Linked DNA regions of Sus scrofa. The protein of the gene in region 1 interacts with the protein of each later gene in a pairwise test. Links are inferred from orthologs where the notes say so. Each region holds a gene or a part of one and is shown on either strand. Other genes may lie near its edges.

What was found. The genes of interacting proteins can lie anywhere in the genome.
Region 2: the proteins of MIPOL1 (region 1) and CCT3 interact in binary tests that used the Homo sapiens proteins (3 or more experiments, as listed by UniProt). The two-hybrid records come from large-scale screens. The link is inferred for Sus scrofa from reciprocal best matches to the Homo sapiens genes MIPOL1 and CCT3.
Region 3: the proteins of MIPOL1 (region 1) and TTC12 interact in binary tests that used the Homo sapiens proteins (3 or more experiments, as listed by UniProt). The two-hybrid records come from large-scale screens. The link is inferred for Sus scrofa from reciprocal best matches to the Homo sapiens genes MIPOL1 and TTC12.

Annotation. Positions count from the first base shown.
Region 1 is NC_010449.5:62,553,377-62,559,462, reverse strand, and holds part of MIPOL1 (mirror-image polydactyly gene 1 protein), read left to right. Parts: intron 1-1,569; coding exon 1,570-1,800; intron 1,801-6,086.
Region 2 is NC_010446.5:93,749,434-93,754,893, reverse strand, and holds the end of CCT3 (T-complex protein 1 subunit gamma), read right to left. Parts: intron 4,234-5,460; coding exon 4,053-4,233; intron 3,134-4,052; coding exon 2,888-3,133; intron 2,619-2,887; coding exon 2,487-2,618; intron 1,887-2,486; coding exon 1,782-1,886; 3' UTR 1,554-1,781; downstream 1-1,553. UniProt on the Homo sapiens protein: Component of the chaperonin-containing T-complex (TRiC), a molecular chaperone complex that assists the folding of actin, tubulin and other proteins upon ATP hydrolysis.
Region 3 is NC_010451.4:41,021,848-41,027,933, reverse strand, and holds part of TTC12 (tetratricopeptide repeat protein 12), read right to left. Parts: intron 5,210-6,086; coding exon 5,117-5,209; intron 3,837-5,116; coding exon 3,776-3,836; intron 2,990-3,775; coding exon 2,852-2,989; intron 2,388-2,851; coding exon 2,289-2,387; intron 1,807-2,288; coding exon 1,738-1,806; intron 1-1,737. UniProt on the Homo sapiens protein: Cytoplasmic protein that plays a role in the proper assembly of dynein arm complexes in motile cilia in both respiratory cells and sperm flagella.

The sequences.
Region 1 (6,086 bases):
TGTAATTTAAAATGTATTTGACATTTAAGGATAATAAAGAACATACACTTTTTAAAGGTTTTTTTGTTCTGTTTGTTTTGTTTCTTTCTTTCTTACATCTTTGAAGTAGGCAAAGAGCAGACTGAAAGAAATTAAAGTTGGAAGAATGTAGAAAATATGAGAAGACAGAGAAAATAATGGGCAAATGCACAAGAGACAGGAGCCTTTAGGCATATGGATTGTTAGAACCAAGAATCAAATATGGGTTAGATGCATAACCTTAAAGAAAGGTTTTTTTTTTTTTTTGCTTTCTGCAAATCTGGCATTGTACACTATTCTTTCATATATAGCAATCACTTCACCACAGTTTAGCAGCATTCTCTCTTCTTAGGGACTAATTTTAATTCTTAAATGATTTCCTTTGGTATGCTAACTGTCCCTGTCTCAGGTCCTTCTTATTTCCATGTGACATCTCCAAACTGAGCACACTGGAGAGGCTTACGGGTTACTTAAGCAAAAAGGAGAAATTTAAAATTACTTTAGTTTGAACAGTTTTAAATGAAGTAGATATTAAATGACTAGATATTCAGCCAGAGTTAAAGTTCCTGACTAGCTCTTTGAAGCTTTAAGAATTATATTACTTTCTCTCAATATTATCAATCTGTATTATATAGTTAGGTAGTTTTACTTAAAGTCTCCCGTCGACATTTCTTTTGTATGCATATACTGAAATGATTTTATTTAATAAAAAAAGAACATCTCCTGTGTGGATTTTAAATTTCCCTTATTAAATATTTATATTTTCAAAATGTCTTTATTTAATTGAGTGAGGTGCTTGGTGCCATTTCAAAATAACCTCAGGTGGTAGGTGTAATGACATATCAAAGATTTGACCTTTAGCATTTTAGGATTCTATTTGTCTGCATTTTCTTCTGCATTCATTTAGTCTTAATTTATATGCTGTTTCTCTGTGTGACTTAATGAGCACATGTATTTGGCATAAGATTCATTAACAAAAAGAAAATATATCTGAATACATATTATTTCTGTGCCGCCTGAGTAGTGATTTTAACTTCATTTATATCTCAACTGTGACAAGTAGAAAATGCCCTGTATAAGGCTGATCAGTATTTGTACAAACCTCATTCATTCTCATTAAGTGTTCAGCCAAATAGACCCTGGATCTACTAAACTGATGCCTGTTCTCTTACTTCTCACTTCTTTGCAGTCAGCTTATTATATTCTTTTATTTACCTAGAGATACTTTATTTTGTAATTCTTTGCTATTACTTTTAAAGAAAATTGAATGTAATATTTACACTGATATAATTAACATCTTGCAGCAACTTTGTGTAGGCTTTGATAGCAAAGCTAATCATTTGTCTGGGTAGCTTTCAGCCTAAAAGCAGAGAAATGGATAATTATCAAGCGTAATATTGTCATACAAAAATTATTTTCATTTGCCCATTTAAGTATGTCTTTATTGATTTTTAGAAGTGGATGTTTCTAACTGGAGATTTTTGTCAAATAGTTATTGGTCAGTCAGCCTCCCTATTTATGTTTACATTATTTATTTTTATATTTTCTCAGTTTACACAAATCCTTATCCCAAGAAGAAAGTCTGAAGGATCAGTTTAACCATACCCTTAGTACCTATGAAGAAGCTTTGAAAAACAGAGAGAACATTGTTTCCATCACTCAACAACAAAATGACGAACTATCTATCCAACTGCAGCAAGCTCTGACAGATCGAGCAAACATGGAATTAGAGCTTCAGCACACCGTGGAGGCCTCCCGAGCAGCCAATGACAAAGTTCAGAAGTAAGTGAAATGACCTTGCATAATTTCAAAAGCATGAAACAAAAAAGAACAAAAGTGCTATCTTTTAGCAACTAAATCATATATTATTTATTATGCATACTGTTAATAGTTGAAGACAAAAGTAGATTGAGCCAGATGAACTTTTTTAGAGTGCCTGTCATATCCATATTTGGGGTCAAAAGTCATTTACTTGGGAATCACAGGTACTATTTAGGATAAACATCTTTATTTAATAAGTGATCTTCATGAGTTCATTCAGGCCATATGATTAAAATTGTTTCATGAGAAATAGGTAGTTATTAGCAATGGGAAGAGGCAGTCAAGTTGCCAGCTTTCCTCATTTAGCTTCACAATAATCCTGCTTGGGTTGAGATCATCTATGACCTTTCAGTCTGAGACCTCTAGCTCATAGAATCCAGGACAGTGAAATTAATTTTCTTATGTTCCTCTTCTGAAGAATTCAATACAGCTTTTCAAAGTATGTGATTATAGTTGTTTATTTTCAGTAATCTTTGTGTCTTTATTAAAGCTTCAGTAAAGCTGCATAATCATAAGTCTTTAATGATAGCCAGCAAAACATTAACATAACTTATCAAAGAAGTCATTTGTTAATTTATGGGACTCGAATACTCTAGCAAAATTTTCTAAGGCAGCTTTAATATAAAAGAACTTGTAATTTTAATTGAGTGCTTCTTTACTTATTAACAGCATTTTGTCATTCACACACATAATCACATTCAATTTCTAAGACATACTTTTTTCCTTAAGTTTTTTTCAGTTTTATAGTATGAAGAAGTTCTTACTTCTCACTACTTTTTATTGAAAATAAGTCATCTCAAGCATTCCCGCAGGATCCTTGAAATTATATTTTGATTAATAGCCCAAGATCAGGTAAATATATAATTGAGACTGTTTTAAACCAGATTAGGAATTATGCATATTAATCTTTATTATCAATGTATGTACCTTGAAACTTATGATTTATGGTATTATGTTTTTTATAGGTTTTTATAAAAGGAGTTCTCTTATAGCAGTTTAAAGATCCAGTATTGTCACTGCAATGGCCTGGGTTGCTGCTACGGCATGGGTTTGATCCCTGGCCCAGGAATTTCCATGTGCTGCAGGCACAGCCCCCCAAAAAATAATAATAAAAATTCTAAAATTAAAAAAAGTAAACATTAAATTTATATTCAGTCAGAAACTATATCAAGTTATTCACAATGTATATTAACATTCTACGAACACCAAGATATATATATATAGGTAGAGCTCATTTCATTGTAAACTATAGATCAGTAACTTTTGACAGTTAAGATCTGATTTAGCTCTATTTGCTTTAAGACTACAAATACTTAAAAATTTCAACTTTTTTTATATGTAATCCTTTAATTTCTCTACATAACTAAAACTCCCTAAAACAGTGTTTCCCAGAGAGCAATTAGATTTCTAAAAAAAAATATTTATAAATGTTGTCAACTTTTTTTTGTCTCATCAGCTATCAGTTTTATTTTGTGAAAGATATAACTTTACACCCCAAGAAATAAAAATAACATTTTCTCAGATAATACTTTAAATAAGTTTAACCTTTTGAAAAACTCACTATACTGTTCTTATTTTTCACATTTAACAACAGACAAATCAAGACTTTTTTCATGGAAATGGCATGGACAATCCATGGACAGAGTTTAAGTGCAACAATTAATGTCTTTTCTTAGAATTAAATGTTAAGTTTTAATTTAAATGTTAAATCTTTTATTCTGATTTCTGGCAGTCAGACCTAGATGAAAGATTACCAGTAATTGGGAGTTCCCATTGTGGCGCAGTGGTTAACGAATCCAACTAGGGACCATGGGGTTGCAGGTTCAATCCCTGCCCTTGCTCAGTGGGTTAAGAGTTCGGCATTGCTGTGAGCTGTGGTGTAGATTGCAGACGCGGCTTGGATCCCTTGTTGCTGTGGCTCTGGCATAGGCCGGTGGCTACAGCTCCGATTGGACCCCTAGCCTGGGAATCTCCATATGCCGTGAGAGCGGCCCTAGAAAAGGCAAAAAGACAAAAAATAAAATAAAATAAAGATTACCAGTAATTGCCTAAGTATTAAATTCAACACTCCACTTCTAATTATACTCTATTATAAAACTATATATGATCATGGTAAAATAAGATGCTTGTGTATCTTCAGCAGTATACCATGGTAATTTAAAAGCTCAGTCTCTGGATTCACAATGCATAAGTGTGTGAACTTAGACATTTTAAAACACTGTGCTGATGTGGACAATAGTATGTGGACAGTAATACTCCTATCTCCTAATGTTGTAAGAATTAGATGAGATTGTACATGTGATGCTTTGAGAGTAGTGTGTGTTGCATAGGCCCTCCTTCTCTTATTACTTCTCTCATATGCACTATCTCATTCCTCAGAAGGGCACTCACTACCTTCGAGGCTAAATGCCTTTATATACATTAATCTCTCTGCTTGGAGCCTTTTGCCCTTTCCCCTCATGATAAACATATTCATCCTATGAGATGCACTGCAGCATAGAAGATAGAGGCAAGCTTCGTCGTCAATCAGCCAGACCTATGTTTGAATCTCTGCTTTCTTGTTATCTCTGAGATTTAGGACAAATTTCTTATCCCCTAGAAGCAAAAGTTTTTCAGTTAAAATATTTAGACCATTGCCCAGGGCTTCACAGGGAAAGTTGATGTGGGAATAAACTGGATGTCATGTAAAAATGCCTAATTTAGTACCAGTTACTTTATTATAAGCATTGTATAAATTTTATCAGTAGTATCATCATATTCATCAAATTAGCAGGATTAGTTCAATTGCCTTTTCTCTACAAAATTTTCTTCAACTTTTTGGTTTGTTAAATCACTCTTTTCTGTGTGTTGTCATAGGTTTTTGTTTGTTTGTTTGTTTGTTTGTTTTGGTTAAAAATTTCTATCCTGAAAATAAAGCCCTCCCATTTTCCTGTCTCTCCTGTCTCCATGAAGAGTTCAGCAGTTTTAGCACTGCCCTTGTTCCCTCACTCTTTCTTATGATTCATATTCACTTTACCATCAGTCTCTATTATCTGTTGCCTGAGTATCTCCTGATTTCCTCGCCCTCTTCCCTAGTGAATTGTATTAGTTCAGGCCCTCGTCATTCCTCATGACTATTGAAATAATCATAAAACTAGTTTATCTGCCTCTAGCTCTCTCAAGTTTACCTTCCTCATGACCACCAGACTTAATTTTCTGAAACATAAATTCAGTTATATTACTTCCCTGTTTAACATCTTTCAGGGGCTCTTTGTCACCTGCAAGTTAAACAACTTAGCGTGATATAGGAGGCCTATCACTGGCCTTCTCCTACTGTTCTGGTATCATTTCCCTCCCATGACCCCTACCACAGTATCTCTGCTTGTGCTATTTCTTCTTAGAATATATTTCTCCCTTTTTACTGGCCAGGTTTTTGTTACTCCTTAAATTCCAGCCTAAATGTTGCCTCTGTGATGCTTTATTTTTTTCATTTTTTAATGCTTTCATAGTACTTAGTCCATACTTTTATTAGTGGTCTTAATCATCTAGGTGTTATAATTGTTTTTATGTCAGTATCCTATCGACTCTCTGCAAAATTACCCATCATTGAGCTTTTCTAAGACATAGACAGTGTTCTATTCATCTTTTTATTCCTGTTGCCTTACACAGATGCCTGCTGTAAAGTGGGCACTCCAAAAATGCTTCTAAGTTTATGAACTAGAAACAATTTAATAGTTTGCTAGAATAACAGAAAAAGGTAAAGACAGGTCAGGTCAGGAATACACAGGAAAATTTCAGATGTGCTTTGATCTGCTTTGGCTGTAGATAAAGTTTTTTTTATCCCAACCCAGTACCTAGAGCTTACCAGTTTCATAGAAAAGCATGGCCTCCCTCACTGGCATCCCCACTCCTTCTGCTCTCCTCAGAGTTAGGATCTCTTAGGGTTAGGGTTAGGGTTAGCTTTTAATCCTTGTTCTAACTACCAACTTTCACCAAGTTTAATTACATTTAAAAGACCTAAAATCTTCAGTAATAGGAGAAAGAGAGCATATACTGTTTCTAATCACTGTAAAATCTTAAATTTGTGTTTTGTTTTCTTTCAGGGTCAAATATTTTTCTTAAAGTGTTAAACCTATATGAGTATACTTGGAAAGAAAGTTGTGCAGAATTACCATCCATAAGTTAGCCAGTATTTATGGGCAGATGGTCACTTATAGGGCAAATGTAATAAATGCCAGATCTCATTGCCCAAAAATAGCTTCTTGGCA
Region 2 (5,460 bases), on another chromosome or scaffold:
TAACCATTAGAGCTAAAACCAGAACGGGCCTCTAAAAGTCTAAGGAACAAGAGGCAATTCCTTCCTCTAAAATTTCTCAAGTATTGCAGGAGCTATTTCTTCAGTATCTTTTTGTTTTTTTAGGGCCTTCTACATATGGAAATTCACAGGCTAGGAGTTAAATTGGAGCTGTAGCCTCCAGCCTACACCACAGCCACAGCCACAAGGGATCTGAGCTGCATACAAGACCTACACCACAGCTCACAGCAAAGCCACGTCCTTAACCCACTGAGCAAGGCCAAGGATCGAACCTGCATCCTCGTGGATCCTGGCCAGATTTGTTTCTGTTGAGCCACGATGGGAACTCCCAAGATCTTTTTATTTACTTGAGAATTAACCCATTATCATTTTTTAAGGTCTTAAAGCTCTGAGGGAATTAATACAAGCATAGATGGATTTCAGCAAAAGGTAGGTAGTAGGCTTATTTCAGAGACCCTCAAAGAGGAAAAGCTGAGACTTTGGACAAAGTTAAGCAGAAAGCTAAATACTAGTCATCAACAGAGCAGAAAGTCTCCCGAGACCCCTTTCCACAGCACACCTCCATTCAGTCAGCACAGCCAGCTGTAAATGCGTGGCTTCCAAAGACTGCCTACAGAGTAATTCCAGGTCTGCCATTTACCAACTTTGTGACCCTTGAACAATCTACTTTATGTTTTAGATTACCCAACACAAACTAGGGTTATTACCTATCTTATAGGGTCCTTGGGAAGGATTAGCTAACATATGCAAAGTGACCAGAATGTATCTTCCACATAACAGGCACTGTGTGCTATTATTCTAACTAGTATTCAAGATTTAACATTAAATCCTGCGGTCAGGTTAGGAGATACAGGCTGACTGCATGAGTCATAAGGACAAAGGGGACAATGGAAGGCCCAGTAGTCAGGAGGAAGGACTCTGAAGAAATCAAAGGCTAGCTCCACCTAGCCACCACGAGCACCTCAGGGTCAATATAAGATTTTTCTGTCTTGCTAAAAACAAAGCACAGACTGAGATTTAAATCTTTTGTTTCTGCTAGCAGGGAAAGTCAAAGTCCTACTGGACACAAGCATGCCGGGAAAATAAGCCAGAAAAGATTGGAATCAGGAAGAACACTGGGAAGGGGCAGAGATAAATTTTAGATAGGAAGGATTCTGAAAAGCTATAGGATATAATAAAAAAAAGAAAAAAAGATGTTCTAGGTTCTTCAGAATAAATGCCTAAACCCTAGCACATACTGGGTGTTGCTCTACACAATCACATACAATGAACACCCATGGTTTGGACAGGTTCCTCCTGTTCTTTGGGTGGTGAATGCAAAGTGGTGTTTCTTTAAGCTTTCCAATATCCTCCTTTGAAATCCAAGAGTCCTCCCAACCAGTCCCTACTAAGAAGTGTGAATACCCCCTCAAAAAGGGAAAGATACTTAATGACCTCATTCCCATCTCTCTCTCTCCAGTAAGGTTTTTTGCTTCCTCCCTCCTTGCCAGGAGGCAGAAATATGGCCCAAGGTTGAAAAACACATAACAACTGTCTCAAATGACTTAGATTTAATCATCGGAAGCAAACTAAATGGAAAGCTTACAATAGAGAAGAATTACATGTCAGTGCCTTTTGCAAACTGAGCTGGGACAGAAAGGGACTGGGCTGCCCCTTGAACTGATCCCTTCCAAACAAAGACGTCCACAGTGTCCCTGGCAGTCTGGCTCAGGGAAGGGGGAGACTCTGTTGGCTCTGTGCGTTGAGGTCGCCTTGCCCACTGCTCACTCCTGGCCAGCATCAGGAGCCCCACCTTGCCGGCTCTGGTCGTCACCCTTCTTTTTGTGGCCTGAGACGATGTCATCAATCCGCAGCAGCAGGACTGCCGTCTAGGAGAATAACCACAGCCCCAAAGAGGTCAGCAAAGGAAAGGACACTTGTTTTCATTTAGACACATCACCTAGCTCCTCCTACATAATTACCATTTTATCTGAAATCTACTCTTTCAGAATCCTGAATGTAAAATGCAGTTCTCCCAAAGCAAGGGAAGCAGCTTGTGCCATGTTACTTTGTTTTTTTTTTTGTCCTTTAAGGGCTGCACCCATGGCATATGGAGGTTCCCAAGCTAGGGATCAATTGGAGCTGTAGCCGCCAGCCTACACCACAGCCACAGCAACTCGGGATCCAAGCCGCGTCTGCGACCTACACCACAGCTCACGGCAATGCTGGATCCTTAACCCAGTGAGTGATGCCAGGGATTGAACCTGAGTCCTCATGGATGCTAGTCGGGTTCATTAACCACTGAACCACGATGGGAACTCCATCTTGATTTTTAAATGAGCTAAAGCTAATAAGTAGGGGGATGGAATTCCTTGAGAGATCTTTTGTGGAATACTCTGCCTTCTATCCCTCCCCTTTCAAGACTGGATCAAACACAGTTTTCTGGTAATCTGGAAATAAACAGCATAGCATGTCTTAGAGTGCCTCACCTCCACTGCAGTCTTGTACGTTTGTAGCTTTACAGCCAATGGTTCCCAGATGCCCAGTTCTTTCATGTCCACCAGAGTACCTGTCTCACCATTCACACCCCAGGTCTCACAATTCTCCTGGGTGTGCTTGGCCTATGGTTGGAACAAACATAGTTAAAGGGGAAAATACTAGGAACAAATAACCTGGTAGAGACCATTAGATAAAAATCAACTATACTGGATTATAAGGTACAGACAAGAGGAAATGGCAATGACATCAAGTCAAAAATTAAGAAAGAGAAGATGTTTTTAAGGGAACAAGCTACAAGGAAAACCAGAAAAGACAGACACAAATCATCCTCTTAGGTTAAAAATACAGCTTTCCCTACCCCATCAAGAGAAAAGCACGGAAAAGAACTCACCCGAAGGGAGGTAAGTAAACGGATGGTGCTGGCCCCACAGTTCTGGATAAGGGTACGAGGAATGACCTCCAGGGCCTGGGCAACAGCCCGATATGGCCATTGTTCCACACCAGTCATCGCCTTGGATTTTTCTGTCAAGGCATGAGCCACAGCCATCTCAGAAGCCCCACCCCCTGGCACGAGCTGAGGGTCCAGGAGAACATTGCGGCACACTTGCATGGCATCCTGGAGGTTGCGTTCTACTTCCTTGGGAAAGCAAACAGACACCATAACACCAAAGCCTGATGAGTCAGGGACAAGTCAGAGGCACCAGGGACTTCCTGACTGCCAAGTTTGATAAACCAAGGAGGGCAAACTAAGAAAGGTCTTTCAAACCTTTTGGGCAGGGCAGATGCTATTTACCCAGGCTTTGTTCACTGTGCTTGACAGAGCTATACCCCTGTTCTTATCCTGTCTAGTTGTGTACTCTAGGAGGCTGCAGTGTAGTGGCAACTCTGAAACTCTCTACTTACTAGCTATGTGCCTTGGCTAAGTTACTTAATAACCTCACTCAGTGGAAAGAAAAGTAGTATTTATAACTTCAACGTAAAAATAGGGAAGCAGTGTTCGGTATGGGATGGGGAAATAACTGAATCATTGTTCAATGGGTATAGTGCCTCGTTTTTTCAAGATAAAAAAGTTCTGAGAATCTGTTGCATGAAAATGTGAATGTACTTAACACCACTGAACCGTACACGTAAAAAAAGTGGTTAAGATGATATATTTTAAAATTTTTTTTGGCTTTTTGGCTCTATAGGGCCGCTCCTGAGGCCTATGAGGTTCCCAGGCTAGGGGTCCAGTTGGAGCTGTAGCTGCCGGCCTGAGCCACAGCCACAGCCACAGCAACGTGGGATCCGAGCTTCGTCTGCAACCTACACCGCAGCTCACGGCAATGCCAGAATCTTTACCCACTGAGCAAGGCCAGGGATTGAACCCACAACCTCATGGTTCCCAGTTGGATTCGTTAACCACTGAGCCACGACAGGAACTCTGGTAAACTTTATGTTTAAAAAACTTTTTTTTTAAACAGTAAAAAACAAATGGACAACAGGATGATTACCTCTGGGAAACTCTCAAGAAACAGAATGACCTAGTTCATTCAGTCACACTTCCAAGGCTGACTCACCGAGAGAATCTCTTTGCTGGCCCCCCGGAGGAGAATGGTACAGGCTTTGGGGTCTTTACACTCAGTAATGAATGTAAAGTACTCATCTCCAATTTTCTTGATTTCCAACAGGCCTGCTCCTGTCCCAATATCTTCTTCTCTTAGTTCCTCTGGTCGGCTGACTATCCGGGCCCCACAGGCTCTATTGATTAGATGGAGAGGAGGGGACAGGGAGAAGACCAGATGAGGGCAGATACTTCTACTCAGATTCTTGATCCCCAGGTTCTGTGGTGAAGATTAGGGCCAGGGCAAAAGTGGATTGCTCGTAACATTTCTGCCTAAGGTAACAAGTCTTGGCTTCCATACCAATAGATCTCCAAATGTATAGGTGGAGTTTCCTTAAACTAATATGGCTTTATAAATGAAAGTGTACATATCTAAAGCAACTACTACAATGAGATACAGTTTAATTCAAAACATATTTAGTGGACCTTGAAATTTGGACAGATGAGTTCTTATGCATATTTAATGTGTATAACAAGTAACGGTCATTTCTAGATAGAGTTTGTCCTATACTGCCTAGTTAGATCTCAAAACCAGTTAACAAGACTGTACTAAAGACAATGCAAAGACCAAGCAAGAACAGAGGTGAATAAGCTCATATGTCTGACCCAATTTTAATGATGTAGAGCTAATATTTTGTTACCCCTTCTCCCGAATCATGGGCATGTATAGTTTATTATGTGTATGCATCTATGCCCAGAGCCATTTCAGAGCAAGTTTAAGTATAAAATTTGATTTGGATCTATGGCATATTATGTGATGTCAGAAGAGACTTAAATCTTTAAAAACTAGAAATCCTAGAAATCCTAAAAATGGGTGATGTCTGAGCATAGGTGTCTGTGCAGAAGTAGTGACGCAATCTAAAGTTTCACTGACAGTAGCTAGCTGAGGATCCAATTAAGTTAACTGTCAGTTCTGCTATATTCTGAAATAGTTATAAACAGACTAATCTGAAATGGACCCCTATACCAAGGTATCATAGGTAACTAAGCATAAGCTATTCACTACTGGTTAGGAACAGTACAGGAGAGACTCACGTAGCAAATGTTAATATAAAGGACTTCTGAAGAGGGAAGATGGTTAAAGCCTGGTTATTTCCATTTGTGACTGATTTGTCTGTGTGTGTGTGTGTGCTTGCGCCTTTTCTAGGGCCCCTCCCACGGCATATGGAGGTTCCCAGGCTAGGGGTCCAATCAGAGCTGTAGCCGCTGGCCTATGCCAGAGCCACAGCCACGTGGGATCCAAGCCGAGCCTGCGACCTACACCACAGCTCACGGCAACGCTGAGCAGGGCCAGGGATTGAACCCGAAACCTCATGGTTCCTAGTCAGATTCGTCAACCACTGAGCCACCCTGCCTATCTTATA
Region 3 (6,086 bases), on another chromosome or scaffold:
CTACTTTTTTCGTGTCTCCCCATCATCTCTATTTTTTGGAGTCAACTTTTCTGTTTATCTTGGTTTTTCTATTTATTTTGTAGGGCTTTTTGGAAATGCCTGGTGACCCTTAGCTTTCCAGTCACATTTATGCAAAAAGTAACATGTTTGGGTACGCTGTGTTTATGGGGTGCTTGTCCACCAACAGGTGCTGAGGGGGCAAAGCAAAAAGTGTTTTCTCTGGTCTTTTAATTCCTTTAGGAAAAAAAAAAAACACTCATATTTTATGCCTGAGGAAGAGATGCCTGGCTGCCAAATGCTGCCCCATCTCTTACTTCCGTAGCTGGCGTTCTGGAGCCCCGATCTCCTCCACAGAGCTGCACGGCAGACCTGCTCCTCCGGGCCGTGCTCCCCTCCCTCTGTCCTCTACGTGAGGGTTTCTCCAGCCCTGCCCCATGCATTCCCACTCGTGCAGCTGTTCTCCATCTTCCAGAAACTAGCTAAAATAACTTACCCATTGGTGACCTCTTGCCTGTTCACTTTGTCAGTGGGGGTGTCTGCCTTTTTCCCCCAAATGCCTTCAGTCTCATTTAAAACAAAAAACAACAACAACAAAAAAACCCGACTGAAGTATGGTTGATTTACAATATCATGTTAGTTTCAGGTGTACAGCACAGTGATTCAGATACATATTCATATATTTAGAGTCTCTCTCTATATATGAATATATATTTGAATATATATAGACTCTCTCTCTCTCTCTCTCTCTATATATATATATATATATTGTTTTCCAGATTTTTTCCCCTTATAGGTTGTTACAAAATATTGAAGTTTCCAGAGCAAGAAGGGACAAACTTGCGTATTATCATATTTTCCATCTTGTCTCCCTGATCTGCGTCCTGAGGTGTAGACTGTGGCTGTAGCTGACAGTACACATCTCTTCCCAGGCTCAAGCCAGTGGAGTGAGCCCCGTATCAGAGGACCAGGTTCTCTGCTGGGGCTGCTCCCAGCTGTGGCCACATAGAGTCCTGGATACAATGGCCCAGAGTCCTTGAAGGGTTAGCAGGGAACTCACGCAGGCCTAGCTTTAGGTGCAGTGCCCAGAAAGGCCCAAGTGCCCAAGAACCATGGTGCGTTTACCACTCTGGGGGTCATGCAACTTTTTCGAGGCTCCGATGAGAGCTGTGATCCACCCCCACCCTCCACCACACATACACTCAGAACTTTCTATACAATTGCAGGGGGTCCAGGGAACCTGAAGACCTACCACATATTCCGGAAGCCCAGGTTAAAGACCTCTGCCCTCTAAGTCCGAACTGACTTCAGGGACAGTGCAGTTGTGGGATGCTGGCCACAAACAAGAATGCTAAGTCTGCCTGGAACCTTTTCACAACCCTGGAACCAGCCCCCAGGCTGCGATCCTTAAAGGGTTGGTTTCCCAGACCCGCCTTGGATGTGACCCCAATTGTTTCTCTAGGTTTAGGGCCCTGACCCTTTAAGGCAGAGGAGTTGGGGTGAATCCTAACTCGAGGGAAGAATACATCCCAGGAGGGTGGCGAACAGCCTCCTGAGTCACATCAGCATTCTCCTTCTGGGGCACAGTGCTAAGCACAGGCCTTTCTTAGTTTTCTTAGCCAAATGTCAGAAACAGAAGCAAGAAAGCCAGTCCAGATATCTTTCTGCGGGGACTAAAACCAAACCAAACCAGAGAACAGCAAAGGCAGCAGTTTCTGGATTTCCCAGGGAGGAGCTTACTGTGAGGATTCCTCCATCCGGGCTGTTCAGCAGGGACAGGCACTTCCGACTCACCTCCATGGCCCACACCTACAGGACAGGAAGAGGGAGAGGAGTCTGCCTGCCCTGGTCATGGTCAGGGTCATTGGTCATCTGCACCTCCCCTCTGAGTGCTCACGTGCAACCGACCCCTCCCGCTCTGTCCTCACCACCGCCTGGCCACATCTGTCTGTATTTCCTTCATAGCATCTTCTATTGCTCTCATTTCTTTCCCACGTCCATCTTCCCCAAGTGCAGGGCGAGGCCTTGAGAGCGGGGACCACGTCATATTTGACCTTGCAAATGCTGAGCCAGCACTGTGCTCAGCACCCTGGCTGCTCAGCTGGTTTTCAGAATGAGTACCTGATGGGGCAGCTCAGGCATCCCTCAGCAGAGCAGGGACAGAGTGTGTGCCCAGCTCTCCCCACTTTCACTGCCGGCATCTGAGTCCATGAGCTCCTGTTCTCTTTGTGGCAGTGAGGTCAGGTCTATGCACCAGAAGGAGTTAAGGCAGGGAGGAAAGAATGCTGTACCTCAGAAACCAAGGAGGGCTGAAGACACAAGTTCATCATGAGTCCCAGGAGGGTATACATGACTTCTCTGAACAGGTCCATGTCCTCTTCGCACTTGGCCTTTAGAAACAAAACAGGGTGATCAATGACCTTCCTGCAGGTTTCCATGGTTTCAGCATCACGCACACTCCCTAAATTGACAATGTCTTGAATCTAAGTGACACTGGAAGATCAGACACTGGTTTATGAGTTAGCATCAGGCCAGGAGACTGGCACAGAGTGTCCAGTGCCTCTGACATGCAATGTGGCTTGGCTGGGTCCTGGGATCACACTGCAGAGGGAGCTGCTGACATGGGTGCTCAAGCCAGCTCCACAGAAAACCTGTCCAACCTCTCCGGAGTGGAGGAGACCTGTTCTGGAGGAATCCTTCAGGCCAGCTGCCCACCAAACCTACAGTCACAGCGGGATAAGCCACTGGCCCCAGTCCCCTCAAGCAGAAGTTTTGGAAAGGCCAGATAATTAAGAAGAAGGCAACTCCCCCAAAGCAGGTAAAAGACCAGCTCTGAACAGGAAAGCTAAAATACCATGAGCCCCAAGCAGGCATCCCCGAATTCCTCAGAGGCAAACAGCTGTCTTCGGGCAGCAGGCTCGGCGCTGAGGTTGCCCAGGATGGCAATGCACTGGCAGAGGGCTGACGTGCTGGTGACCCTGGGATCTCTCTTCTAAAAGGGAATGAAGAGAAAGCGAATCTGTGGAGAGCAGACAAATGATGCCAGAATAATCTCTAGAGGCATCCATCCCTCCCTCCCCAAGGTGTCTGGGGACCAGACAGCGTGAGGTCACGCGGGGGCATCGATGGGGTCACACTGGCCATGGGAAGGTGGCACACAGAGGGGCAGACCCCGAAGCACTTGGCGTGGAACCGGGAGGCCCAGGGCTTAATCCCAGTGACTCTGCCAACCAGCAGGGGCCACTGGGGCAAGTCCTGTCCCCTCTCAGAGCTTCCCTTTCCCCAGCTGCAAAATATTGGGGGTGTTGATATGCTCTCCAAGGTCCCTGAAATTTCTGGGGCTCGCCAGGGACAGCATGCAGTCACAGCGTGCTCTCCTGGAGGACCCGTCCCCTGCTGAGTTTCTCCCTCATCAGCTGTGAGCACCACCCCTGCCCGCTGACCGCGATGACTTCTGTTCAGGGGACGGGGTGGCATGTCACACCGAGGATGGGACTTGGGTCAGAGGGGACGATGGAGACAGACTAACTCTCCACCCTTGCCCCCTGGAGCCCCAGTGTCGCGGTCCTCCCATGTCCCCAGCCCGGTCCACATGCTGCCTCCACCCGTCCCCACTGCAGCTGTTTCAATAACCAAGCCTTGTGTAAATTCCAGCTGTGGATAGATGACAAAGCAACCCAGGAGGCCACAGGAGTTCTGGAGGGTAAACTGTGTTTAAACAGCCTTGTTCGTGCTCCCGAGTGGGTCCGTCACAGGTGATAAATGAGGGCCTGCTCACCAGCACGGCTGCCAGCGCAGGGAGCGCACCTGGAAGGCTGGCTTGGAACCAAACGTGGAACCTGTCACGAGAACATTAGTTGTGATGTATTTCTCCAGCATTCAAACTTTAACATAAATACAGCGTCTCGGGTACTGGGGCAGCCTGGCAACCCCCCGGCCCTCTTGATCTGCCCCTGCGTAGATGATTCATTTGGAACCAAAAAATGTCGCTGGGTAGGTGATGTGGCTTTAATTTTTCTAAGCCTGAGGACTTGCCTTCAATGTTAAACAAGAGATCTCAGAGGGCAGCTCTCTTAGAAGCTGCCAGAATCCCTAGGTTTCTGCTGAACTGACCTACCACCACTCCTGCCCCCGACCTGCTGAGTCTATATGTGCTGTGCAAACAGGAGGCATGGTGTGAGTGTGTTTACGTGTCACAGCCGCGAAGAGGGCCCCGAGGTACACACACACCTCCTCCCACTAGAGTGGCTAGTGTACGTTCCCGGCCCATGCTGATGCTGGCTACCAGTATAAGCAGCTCTCACTTATCGTGTGACGGTTTCTAAGTAAGACACCTAAGATTGGTGAGAAAATTAAAAACAAACAAACAAACAAACAAAAAAAAACCCGAGGAGTTCCCGTTGTGGCTCAGTGGGTTAAGAACCAGACCAGTATCCACAAAGACGCAGGTTCGATCCCTGGCCTCACTCAGTGGGTTAAGGATCCCGCATTGCTGCAAGCTGCAGTGTAGGTTGCAGAGGCAGCTCAGATGTGGCATTGCTGTGGCTGTGGTGTAGGTTGGCAGCTGCAGCTCTGTTTCAACCCCTAGCCTGGGAACTTCCGTATGTCACAAAAAGAAAGAAAAAAAAATTTTTTTAAAAACCTAAGAGTTACGAAAATCTACGACCTTTACTGTCTTCCCCAGCAGCAGCTAAGCAAAGAAGAAAAAGTTGGGGGGAAAGTAACTCATAAGGCCACTGACAGCCCAGGGGGCTCTACCTGGTTACTGTGTGTCCCCCCCCTTTCCCTCGCTCCCTTTCTCACTTATTCAACACGTGTCTGCCAGGCGGTTCCTACCAGTCACTGATGAGGGGAAAAGCTTCACTGACACGTAGTAGGTTTGCTACTGGGAGGGGTGCTATTCTAAGTACATTACTGCTTCCAAGCGCACTGGGGGCCAGGTCCCCTGCACCCAGAGGGACTGGAACGGGAGCGGCTGACCACAGCCCCTGCACATCAGCCCTCCTGCCCAGTGACCTGGTGATGCTCGGCTGGCTGAGCCTCCTGTGCGCTGCACAATTTAGAACAGACAGTTTGACAAAAGTGGACGAAGTATCAATTTCCCGCAATAAAAACTAACCTCTCTTCCAGAGCCAAGTCTGTGAGTAGTGCCATGGCTGAGTTGGCCTTCTTCTCTGAGAAATCAAGAAATGACACCAGGGCTTCCAACAACCTGCAAAATTCACGACCCCCTCAGAGTGGCCAGGCCTCCTGTCGACGGCACCCAACAGGGAGGCCTGGCACGGAGACCAGGAAGGACTCTGCCCCTGGGGGAAATAAGCTGCCCCCTGGCAGCCCAGCCCCTTGCCCACCCCCATGAGACAGACACCCTCCCATGGAAATGGCTCTACCACTTAACAGGAGGTCCTGGAGGCGGGGGGGCGGTGAACAATTTTAACCAAAGTTCAGATGCTGATTGATTATCAGGTGCTGACTTGGAAGGAATCTCTGGTGCCTCTGCCGTGTGACTCTGGCTCGGTCAAGTTGAATCACATAAATGACATCTAATTGGCATGCTTACTAATCTGCTGATGACTAAGTGGGAGGGCACCCTAATGAAGTGGGGTGACGGAATCAAGATTTAACAAGATTTTGACAGGTTGCTGAATATATCAGATGAAATTTAAGAGCATTAAACTCAAAGTCCTTTTACTTAGAGCTGGAAATTCTACCCAAGCAAGAGAACTGGGAGACCTGGTTTATAACTGACTCAAGTGAAAAAGACTTAAGGGTTTTCAGCCAACTGCAAACCCAGTATGAGCAAACAGTCAGGTGCAGCTGTCCCCAAAAGGTCACACAATCTCAGGCTGCCTGAAGGGACTGGCTGGTACCAGGACAATGGGGGTAGGAGCCATTGGTGCATCTGGCAAACCCACATCAAGCACCTGCAGCAGGCTGAGTGCTGTGCTCAGTACTAGGACACAGCACTGAGCTCCCGGTCTCCCACAGTGACATGTGTCAGGTGACATGTCAGAAACAGACACATGTCCAGGGGCCCGGAGTCCACCTGGCAGGAGGTGGGGAGGACGGAGATGAGGATGGTATTTCCG